Cricetulus griseus: one gene and its partner. The protein of the gene in region 1 purifies or fractionates together with the protein of each later gene. This does not show direct contact. Links are inferred from orthologs where the notes say so. Each region holds a gene or a part of one and is shown in the gene's direction. Other genes may lie near its edges.

The links. Proteins that work in one complex are often made in the same cells at the same time.
Region 2: the proteins of Psme1 (region 1) and Psma7 purify together in Homo sapiens (affinity purification with mass spectrometry; 5 studies listed by BioGRID and IntAct, with this or other methods). This does not show direct contact. The link is inferred for Cricetulus griseus from reciprocal best matches to the Homo sapiens genes PSME1 and PSMA7.

What each region holds. Positions count from the first base shown.
Region 1 is NW_023276807.1:210,783,141-210,787,440, forward strand, and holds the start of Psme1 (proteasome activator complex subunit 1), read left to right. Parts: upstream 1-1,458; 5' UTR 1,459-1,579; coding exon 1,580-1,618; intron 1,619-2,353; coding exon 2,354-2,386; intron 2,387-2,528; coding exon 2,529-2,591; intron 2,592-2,683; coding exon 2,684-2,794; intron 2,795-2,866; coding exon 2,867-2,912; intron 2,913-3,032; coding exon 3,033-3,130; intron 3,131-3,552; coding exon 3,553-3,621; intron 3,622-3,699; coding exon 3,700-3,767; intron 3,768-3,874; coding exon 3,875-3,929; intron 3,930-4,002; coding exon 4,003-4,089; intron 4,090-4,210; coding exon 4,211-4,291; 3' UTR 4,292-4,300. UniProt on the Homo sapiens protein: Implicated in immunoproteasome assembly and required for efficient antigen processing. The PA28 activator complex enhances the generation of class I binding peptides by altering the cleavage pattern of the proteasome.
Region 2 is NC_048599.1:1,892,243-1,896,545, forward strand, and holds the start of Psma7 (proteasome subunit alpha type-7), read left to right. Parts: upstream 1-1,470; 5' UTR 1,471-1,565; coding exon 1,566-1,661; intron 1,662-4,303. Other genes in the region: calcium-responsive transactivator, read right to left, coding at 1,017-1,085.

The sequences.
Region 1 (4,300 bases):
GAGTTACAGGCAGTTGTGAGCTGCCATGTGGGTACTGAGAACTGATTAGAGGACCTCTGGAAGAGCAGCCAGTTCTCTTAACCACTGAGCCACCTCCCAATCTCCAGAAATTTTTGTTTTTCGACACAGGGTTTCTCTGTGTAGCCCTGGCTGTCCTGGAATTCGCTCTGTAGACCAGGCTGGCCTCGAACTCAGAGATCCGCCTGCCTCTGCCTCCCCAGTGCTGGGATTAAAGGCATGTGCCACTACTGCCCAGCTCCAAACCTGGCCCTCTCTCTCATCTCTGTCTCTCTGTCTGTCTCTGTCTCTGTCTCTGTCTCTCTCTCTGTGTGTGTGTGTGTGTGTGGGTGGGTGTGTGTGTGTGGTTTTTAGAGACAGGGTTGCTCTATGTAGCTTTGGAGTCTGTCCTGGTATTTGCTCTGCAGACCCAGATGGCCTCGAACTCAGAGATACGTCTGCCTTTGCCTCCCGAGTACTGGGATTAAAGGCCTGCGACACCCCTGCCCCACCCAAGCCTGGCTTTTTTGTTCAACACTTAAAAGGTAAAAGTATTTCTTGAGTGTGAAAATTACATGAAACAAGTTGTTTTATTGAAACTCACCCACAGGAATTTATTTTGTGGGCTGCTTGCCTCTCGAAGTAGTATAGTTGAGATGCTACAGACATGGTACCACTTCCCAAACCTAAATAGCTATCACCAACCCCTGACAGAAAGTTTGTCTGCCCCTGGTTAAAGGAAAAGTGCCTCATGTCACAGTCACAGGTGCTGAGGAGGCACTGAAACAGGATGAGGTAATAAACTGGGCAAGGGAGGTACTTTCTGAAGGATGGTGGAAAATTCTCTCTGAAAAATTGACATCCGAACTGAGTGCGGACATTGAGGGAAGAGTGTTGTAGGTTTCCCAAGGGCAGAGTCCTTGAAGTCGGAATAAACACTAAGTAGCTACAAGCATTTTCTTGTGTAATGGATGAGTCTGGAAAGCAATAGACCGTCAACTTGGAGGGGGCAGGTGATTATGAAAGAAAGGTCTTTGGATTTTATCATACAGGCCTGAATCCCTGCTGTGGGGGAATGATCCACAGGGCAACAGAGTGTGCCACAATGGCTTTGTGCGGAGCTTGGATAAGGATAGTGCCAGCTCTCGGTGCTGGGCCTGGAGTATGCTTAAGTCAGGGGACCACGCCGGCATGGAGAAGAAAGACCAGGTCTTGCTCCAAATCAGAAAAGATTTAAAACCCCCAAGTAAGGCTTATTATTGCCCTGGCCCTAGCAGAAGTAGGGGGTGCCCGGAAATGGAAGGCGGGGTGGGAAGGGGCAGAGGTACGGGCGCTGGCAGGCGGGCTTTGGGAGGCGGGCCTGGCAGGCGAGGGGAGAGACCCGAGCGCTGGGCGGAAACGCTACTCGGGCTGCCGGGGGAGCCCCCGCCTCTCAGTAGGCTGTCCCCGCCTCCTGCAGTCCCTCCACTCCCCAAACCCAGGAAGGCCGTGCAGGTTCCGAGCTCTGCTTTCGCTTTCCCTTCCCGCTGCCCACTCCAGGCTCCTCGTGCGGCGCTCAGCCACCCCCCCCCCCGCTCCGACCATGGCCACCCTGAGGGTCCATCCTGAAGCCCAAGCCAAGGTGAGCGCTGCGGGTCCGAGTGGCTCGAAGAGGCATTAGAGAGGCGTGGCTCGGAGCGGACCCGGATTCCGGGGATCCGCTCCTAGTCCTGCATTTGAGTCGGGGGTCTGCTCCCTAAGCCTGCTGCCAGAAGCACCTGCTTCACTGGGGGTAGGTGAGGCGGCTGTGGTTCAGTGGGGTGAAATGAAGCCGAGGGCTAGTGTGAAGTCTGCTGGCTTGCGGCCCGGGCTACACACAGACGGAGAGAGGGACTTACCCCGGCCACCTCGAGCTCTTTGACTCAGGAAGGGCACACGCCTGCACCCTGCCTCTGCCCACAGGCTGAGTGTTTTAAGACAGGGTCTCTCTGTTATATAGCCCTGGGCTCGAATTCACAGAGAACCACATGACTTTACCTCCCTAGTGCTGGGATTAAAGGCAGGCATGCGATACCACTCCCGGCCAGAGGGCTTTTTTATTTCCTTGCACAATCCTGGTGACCCCGGGAATCTTCTCCCTAAATCCAGTGATCCACTTGGGGATCCACTGAACTCTTCCCCAGAGAGTTTCAGGTGTGCTGAAAACTACAACACCTCAGGCCACCCTATAGAGGGACCCATCTCGCTTTCTTCAAATGTGGCCTTAGAGGGATCCACTCTATTCCCCAGGTCAGGCCCTACACAACCCAAAGGGAATTGTCCTCAAATGAACTGGCCTTAAAAGCTAGGTATCTGAAGGGTTGCCTGTACCCTACAGGTGGATGTGTTTCGGGAAGACCTGTGTAGCAAGGTAAGACCTACTCATCGGCAACCCCACCTCCAACCAGCTGCTGCTGTTCAGCCTTCCCTTGCTGGGCAGTGTGAGCCCTTACTTCACTGCCTAGGAAAGGGTGTTTGATTATGACCCCATCCTCCTCCACCACCTCACACAGACAGAGAACCTGCTTGGGAGCTATTTTCCCAAGAAGATCTCAGAGCTGGATGCATTCCTAAAGGTACAGGGGCCCTTGCAAGTACTCAAGAGGAGCCTGGGGGTGGGGGTGTGGTAAGATAAGAGGAACACCCTCATCTCCAGCCCTACCATTAGGAGCCAGCTCTCAATGAAGCCAACCTGAGCAATCTGAAGGCTCCACTGGACATCCCAATACCTGATCCAGTCAAGGAGAAAGAGAAGGAGGAGCGGAAGAAACAACAGGAGGTAAGCTGGGAGGACTGGGAGGTGGGCCAACAGTAGAGAAAACCAGCCTCAGTCCTGTCTTCCTCCCCACAGAAAGAAGAGAAGGATGAGAAGAAAAAAGGGGAAGATGAAGACAAAGGTATTTGAAACTTGGGAAGAGACAGGCTTGTGTCTCCTAACTTCCGAGTTGCACTGTGCACACTCCCCTTTCCAGCTCTCCCAAGTTCAGTCACTAACTGACCCATTGCACACTGCCTAGGTCCTCCCTGTGGCCCAGTGAACTGCAATGAAAAAATCGTGGCCCTCCTGCAGCGCCTAAAGCCTGAGATCAAGGATGTCATTGAGCAACTCAATCTGGTGAGTTTCACTTTCATCCCTCAGGCTTTGTCCTCTTGGTGTCTGCCAGTTAGGACAGTGATTGCACATAGGAGAGGGAAGAGCAAAGGAGCTCCAAAGGGGCCCTTGCAAGTACTCAAGAGGAGCCTGGGGGTGAGGGTGTGGTAAGATAAGAGGAACACCCTCATCTCCAGCCCTACCATTAGGAGCCAGCTCTCAATGAAGCCAACCTGAGCAATCTGAAGGCTCCATTGGACATCCCAATACCTGATCCCAATACCCAATACCCAATACCTGATGTTGAGCCTTGGGCTCAACATGGATCTGGCATTCCCCTGTTCACTGTGGGCAGTCAAGGGAAGAATAGGAACCTGGGACTTAGGGTGTGTGGAGGGGAGGGAAGGAGACAGTGGTAAAACCCTGATACCTTCCTTTGCTCCAAGGTCACTACTTGGTTGCAACTACAGATACCTCGGATAGAGGATGGAAATAATTTTGGAGTGGCTGTCCAGGTAAGAGCACTGCCCCCTCAATCTACAGCCCTCCTGTGTAACCCGTGCTCCCTTCTAACTCACCACTTTCTTTCCCAGGAGAAGGTGTTTGAGCTGATGACCAGCCTTCATACCAAGCTGGAGGGCTTCCACACTCAAATCTCTAAGTGAGTTGCCTGGCCACTACACCCCTAGCACACTCTGCCTTTGGGGACAGGCCTGGGCTCCTTCCTTTTTCCCCCCACTCCATACAGACTACTTCTGCTTCCCACAGGTACTTCTCAGAGAGGGGTGATGCGGTGACCAAAGCAGCCAAGCAGCCCCACGTGGTAGGTGAGGCCCAGGTCAGGTTTTGCTGGGGAAGACACATTTCAAGCCAGGACTAACCCTGAGTTTCTGCAGGGTGATTATCGGCAGCTGGTGCACGAGCTGGATGAGGCAGAGTACCAGGACATCCGGCTGATGGTCATGGAGATCCGTAATGCTTACGTGAGGAGGGGAGAGGGCGGGGGGGGGGGAGGATGACAAGATCAGCCTTTCCAAAGCTAGAAATGGGACACAGAACCACTGGGGGCCTGTGGCTGACCTCCACTACTCCATGTTCCTATAGGCTGTGTTATATGACATCATCCTAAAGAATTTCGAGAAGCTCAAGAAACCCCGTGGAGAAACTAAGGGAATGATTTATTGAGCCTCCTCT
Region 2 (4,303 bases), on another chromosome or scaffold:
AAGGTTAATACAAAAACCACACTGGAAAATCCGAATTTCTGCTCTGCTCCAATAATCTCTCCTGCCCAAAGCTCACCAAAGCTTGCTGATTTCGACAATCATTATATTCCAAAGAGGCGGAATACAGCAAGGGTGAGCTGGGAAACAGGTGACAAGCTGAGTAAATACCCACAAGCCCCTCAGGTTATGAGGGCCTAAAATGCCAAGGCCCTTGGGGACCTAACCGGCTCAAGGGAATTCGGAAATTCTGTAGAAGGAACCCGAACTGAGAAAAGCCAGAGCGTAGGAAAGATGTTCAGACCGAAAGACAACCAGTAAAATGCTAAAGTGTTCATGTCAAAACTTAAAGCTTTTGTTAAATATGTCCCCAAACCCATGCAAACGCCTTCTTTGGAAAACAGTAGCCCGAATAAAGGATGGGACCGAGACTGCAGGACGAAATCTCCGAAGTCTGGGTGCAGGCAGCGGGGCCCGCCGATGCCCAGTGACCCGCGCGGGGGCGGGGCTGCGCTGGCCTCAGGTCCACCCGCCTGCAGCGAGCTCGGGAGCCCGCTGCGGGCCGTGGGGAAGGCACGCACACTTTGGATGCGTCCCTTTGTGCCGGGGACCGCAATACCTACGACACCGGTCAGCTCGCCGCAGCGGCGCGCCACCAGGCAGCCCGCGCCCCCTTCTCCATTCGCCAAGCTGCGCGCAGAGGCGCGCGACCGACGCCACCAGGGCTGTCAGCGGAGCGCGACCAGCCCCCGCCCCGGCTGGAGGGGCCGCGGGCCCCGGCGTCCCGCACTGCTGCGTCGGCTGACAGGGGCGCTCTCAGAGGACACCGCGCGACGCGCTCCGGGGTGGCCACCCCCTGCGGCCGCCGGGCCCCCGCTGCCGGCGCCTCCGGCAAAGTTGGCGCAGGCTCTCCTGGGGGCGCGCGGGGCCGCCGTCAGGGCTCCTGCGGCCCGGCTGTGCCCTGGCTTTGTTCGCGCCCCGCGCGCACCCTCGCTCCGCACCCCCGCGGCCCTGCCCACCTTCTGGATGGTCTGCTGTGTGACCTCCCCTTTGCCTCTCGGCCGCGCCGACGCGAAGGCCACGGACATGGTGGCGGCGCGGACTCAGCCCGTGATCATTCGGGTTTATTCTCCGGCTGCGCCCCGCGGCCCGAGGTGCCCATTCTCCGCAGCGCGGGGGCGGGGGCGCGGGGGATGCCGTGCCGTGGGCTCGCCCGCCCGCCTGCCGCCGACGCGCGCCCGGGCCTCCCGCGTCCCTGCGCCTTAAGCCACCGCCTTCCGGGACTGGACCCCGCGCCGAGTCCGCCGCTGTGCCGCCTGCGCTCTGCGTCCAGCCGGCCGCCGCCGCGCCGCCCCTGTGCCGGGCTTCGGTGGTTGCGCCCGCCCCGCCGCGCCCCGCCCCTGCCCGCTCCGCCCGCGCGCCCCGCCCCGCCGCGCCGCACGTCCCCCTGACGCCAGACGCCGCGGACGCCAGCAGCGTGGCCCGAGACGGCCGGCGGGCGGGCGCAAGCGGTGAGTGTGCGCTTTTGAGCGGCGGCGGCGGCGGCCCTAGCTCGCGCGTCCGCCGGGATGAGCTACGACCGCGCCATCACCGTCTTCTCGCCCGACGGCCACCTCTTCCAAGTGGAGTACGCGCAGGAGGCGGTCAAGAAGGGCTCCACTGCGGTGAGCCGGCCCGAGCGGGGCCTGCGCGGCAGGGCGCACGGGGAAGCAGGGCTCGCAGACCCGGGAGCGGGGCCCCCGCGTTCTGCTTGCGGCGGGTGGCCCGGGAGGTGACGGGAGCCGAAGGGTGGCGACCTAGGAAGGAAGCCGGGCCGCGGGGACTGCGCCATGCTCCCTGGAGAGCCGGCTTGCCCGCTGCAGAGCGTCACGGGGAGCGCATCGCGCGCCCGGCCGGGGCCATCTTGGTGCTGTTGGCGCGGCGCGGCGCGGACGACGGAGGCCGCAGGTGCGCGCGGGAGGTGGGGGGCTGAGAGTCGGCGCCGGCGGGGACTTGGGGACCTCCCGGCTAGGCCAGACGGGCGTTGGTGAACAAAGGGCGGCCCTGCGACGGGGACCGACTGCTTCCGGGTTCGCCTGCTCCACCGACGCTGTATTCTGGTTCCGGTGGGCCTCTCGCCGCGTCCCGGGATTTGCTCGGGGACCTTAGCGCCATTTGGAAATGGGACCGCCCGACACCTGCAAGCGTCAGCAGTGAGAGAGTTCTGCGTTTTTCTTTTTCCTGAGTCACTGGGTCTTTGGGAAAGACACGTGGTTCTGAGACTCGAAGCGCTTGCATTTCCCGAGTATTTAATCGCTTTGAAAGTAAAGTCCCAAATCTTTTGGTGACTTAACCCACCCCCAAAAAACTAGAGTGAGCAGGCTTGGAGGCCCAGGCCTGTAATCCCGGCATTGGGAAGGTTGAGACCCGAAAATCTCAAATTCAAAGCCAGCCTGGGCTTCTAGAAGAGAATCTCTATGTATGTATGTATGTATGTATGTATGTATGTATGTATGTATGTATGTATGAGTTATTGACTCCTCTTTATGTGCATTGGCGTTTGTGCCTACATGTATGTCTGTGTGAGGGTGTCACATCCCTTGGAACTGGATAGATACTGGAACTGCCTTGTTGGTGCTGGCAATTGAACCCGGGTCCTCTTAAACCTGAGCCCTCTCTCCAGCCCCAAGAGACAGCTGTGCAGTGGTGGTGCACACCTTTAATCCCAGCGTTCTGGAGGCAGAGACAGGAGGATCTCTGTGATTTTGAGACCACCGTGGTCTACAGAGCGAGTTCCTGGATAGGCTCCAAAGCTACAAAGAAACCCTGTCTCAGGGAAAAACAAACAAAGAACAACAACAAAAACTTGTGAGGCTGGTGAGACGACTAAGTTGGTGAAGGGCTTGCTCTTACAAGCATCAAGACCTGGTCACACTGTGACACTCTAGACTGTCGATAAAGTTTACTTTGAATCAGGGGGTAGAGCCAGCCATAGAGAAGCAAGCAATTTCGATACAGAAGACATACAGTAAGGAAAGGGGAAAGCCAGAACTAGAGTTTGAGCTTCATTTTGGTTCTGGGAGGAGGGAAGATATGCCCCTCTTGAGGTGTATCCTGCCATAAAGCAAGGTCAGTTAGTTGTGCCTCAGCCTCCCTGAGCTAGCAGGTTTTCATCCCAGCCTATAAATAGATACATAAATAGAAACTTAATCTATGTGTTGCATTTTTTGTTTGTTTGTTTTTTTTTGTTTTTTTGTTTTCTTTTTTGAGACAGGGTTTCTCTGTGGCTTTGGAGGCTGTCCTGGAACTAGCTCTTGTAGACCAGGCTGGTCTCGAACTCACAGAGAAACGCCTGCCTCTGTCTCCCGAGTGCTGGGATTAAAGGCGTGGGCCACCAACACCCGACTGGAAACTTAATTTAAACCTACATATGGTGACTGTAACAGAGCCAGGGTGCAGGAGCAGAAGCCCTGTGAGGTGTGGCCAATGGGGTGCATAATGTGGGCAGTGGGGCTGTAGACAATAATTAAAATACCTGTAGATTCATGTGCCAACCCCTAAGCTGATGGAAAGACATCATTTGGTGCCCCACAAATGTAGCAGTACTTTCTAGTTGGGATTGCTGGCCCACAAAGGACATGGAGACTTGTTAATAATGAAAGCTTGGCCTTATCTTAGGCTTGTTCGCAGGTAGCTCTCATAACTTAATTAACCCATATAATTTTTTTAGTCTACATTCTGCCACGTGGCTCAGTTGCCTCTTAGTACTGCACAAAATCATGTGTGCCTAGATTCCTTCTTCCAGTCTCTCTCTCTGCCCAGAAGTCTCTCCTGTTCTCTCCTGCCTAGCTATTGGCCATTTAGCTCTTTATTAAAGTCATTAGAAAACGCCAACGCCTTAGGCAAAGACACTTCTTTACAGCATAAACAAATATTCCGAAACATCCACCTACCCACTTTTTTTTTGTTATGTTTTTTTGGTTTTTCCGAGACAGGGTTTCTCTGTGTAGCTTTGGAGCCTGACCTGGCACTTGCTCTGGAGACCAGGCTGGCCTCGAACTCACAGAAATCCACCTGCCTCTGCCTCCCGAGTGCTGGGATTAAAGGCGTGCGCCACCAATGCCCGGCTTTGTTTTTATTTTCTTAAAAGCAGCTTCACACAATGGCATCCCAGCTCTTAGGAGGCAGAGACTGGAGGGGTGCTATTGGCTTGCTGGTCAGCAAGTGTAGCACAATCTGAGTTCAGGTTCAGGGTCTCGAAAAACGTTAAGTTTGGAGGGGCTGGAGAGACGTTGCAGCAGCTAAAAGGGTGCAAGCAGAGGACCGA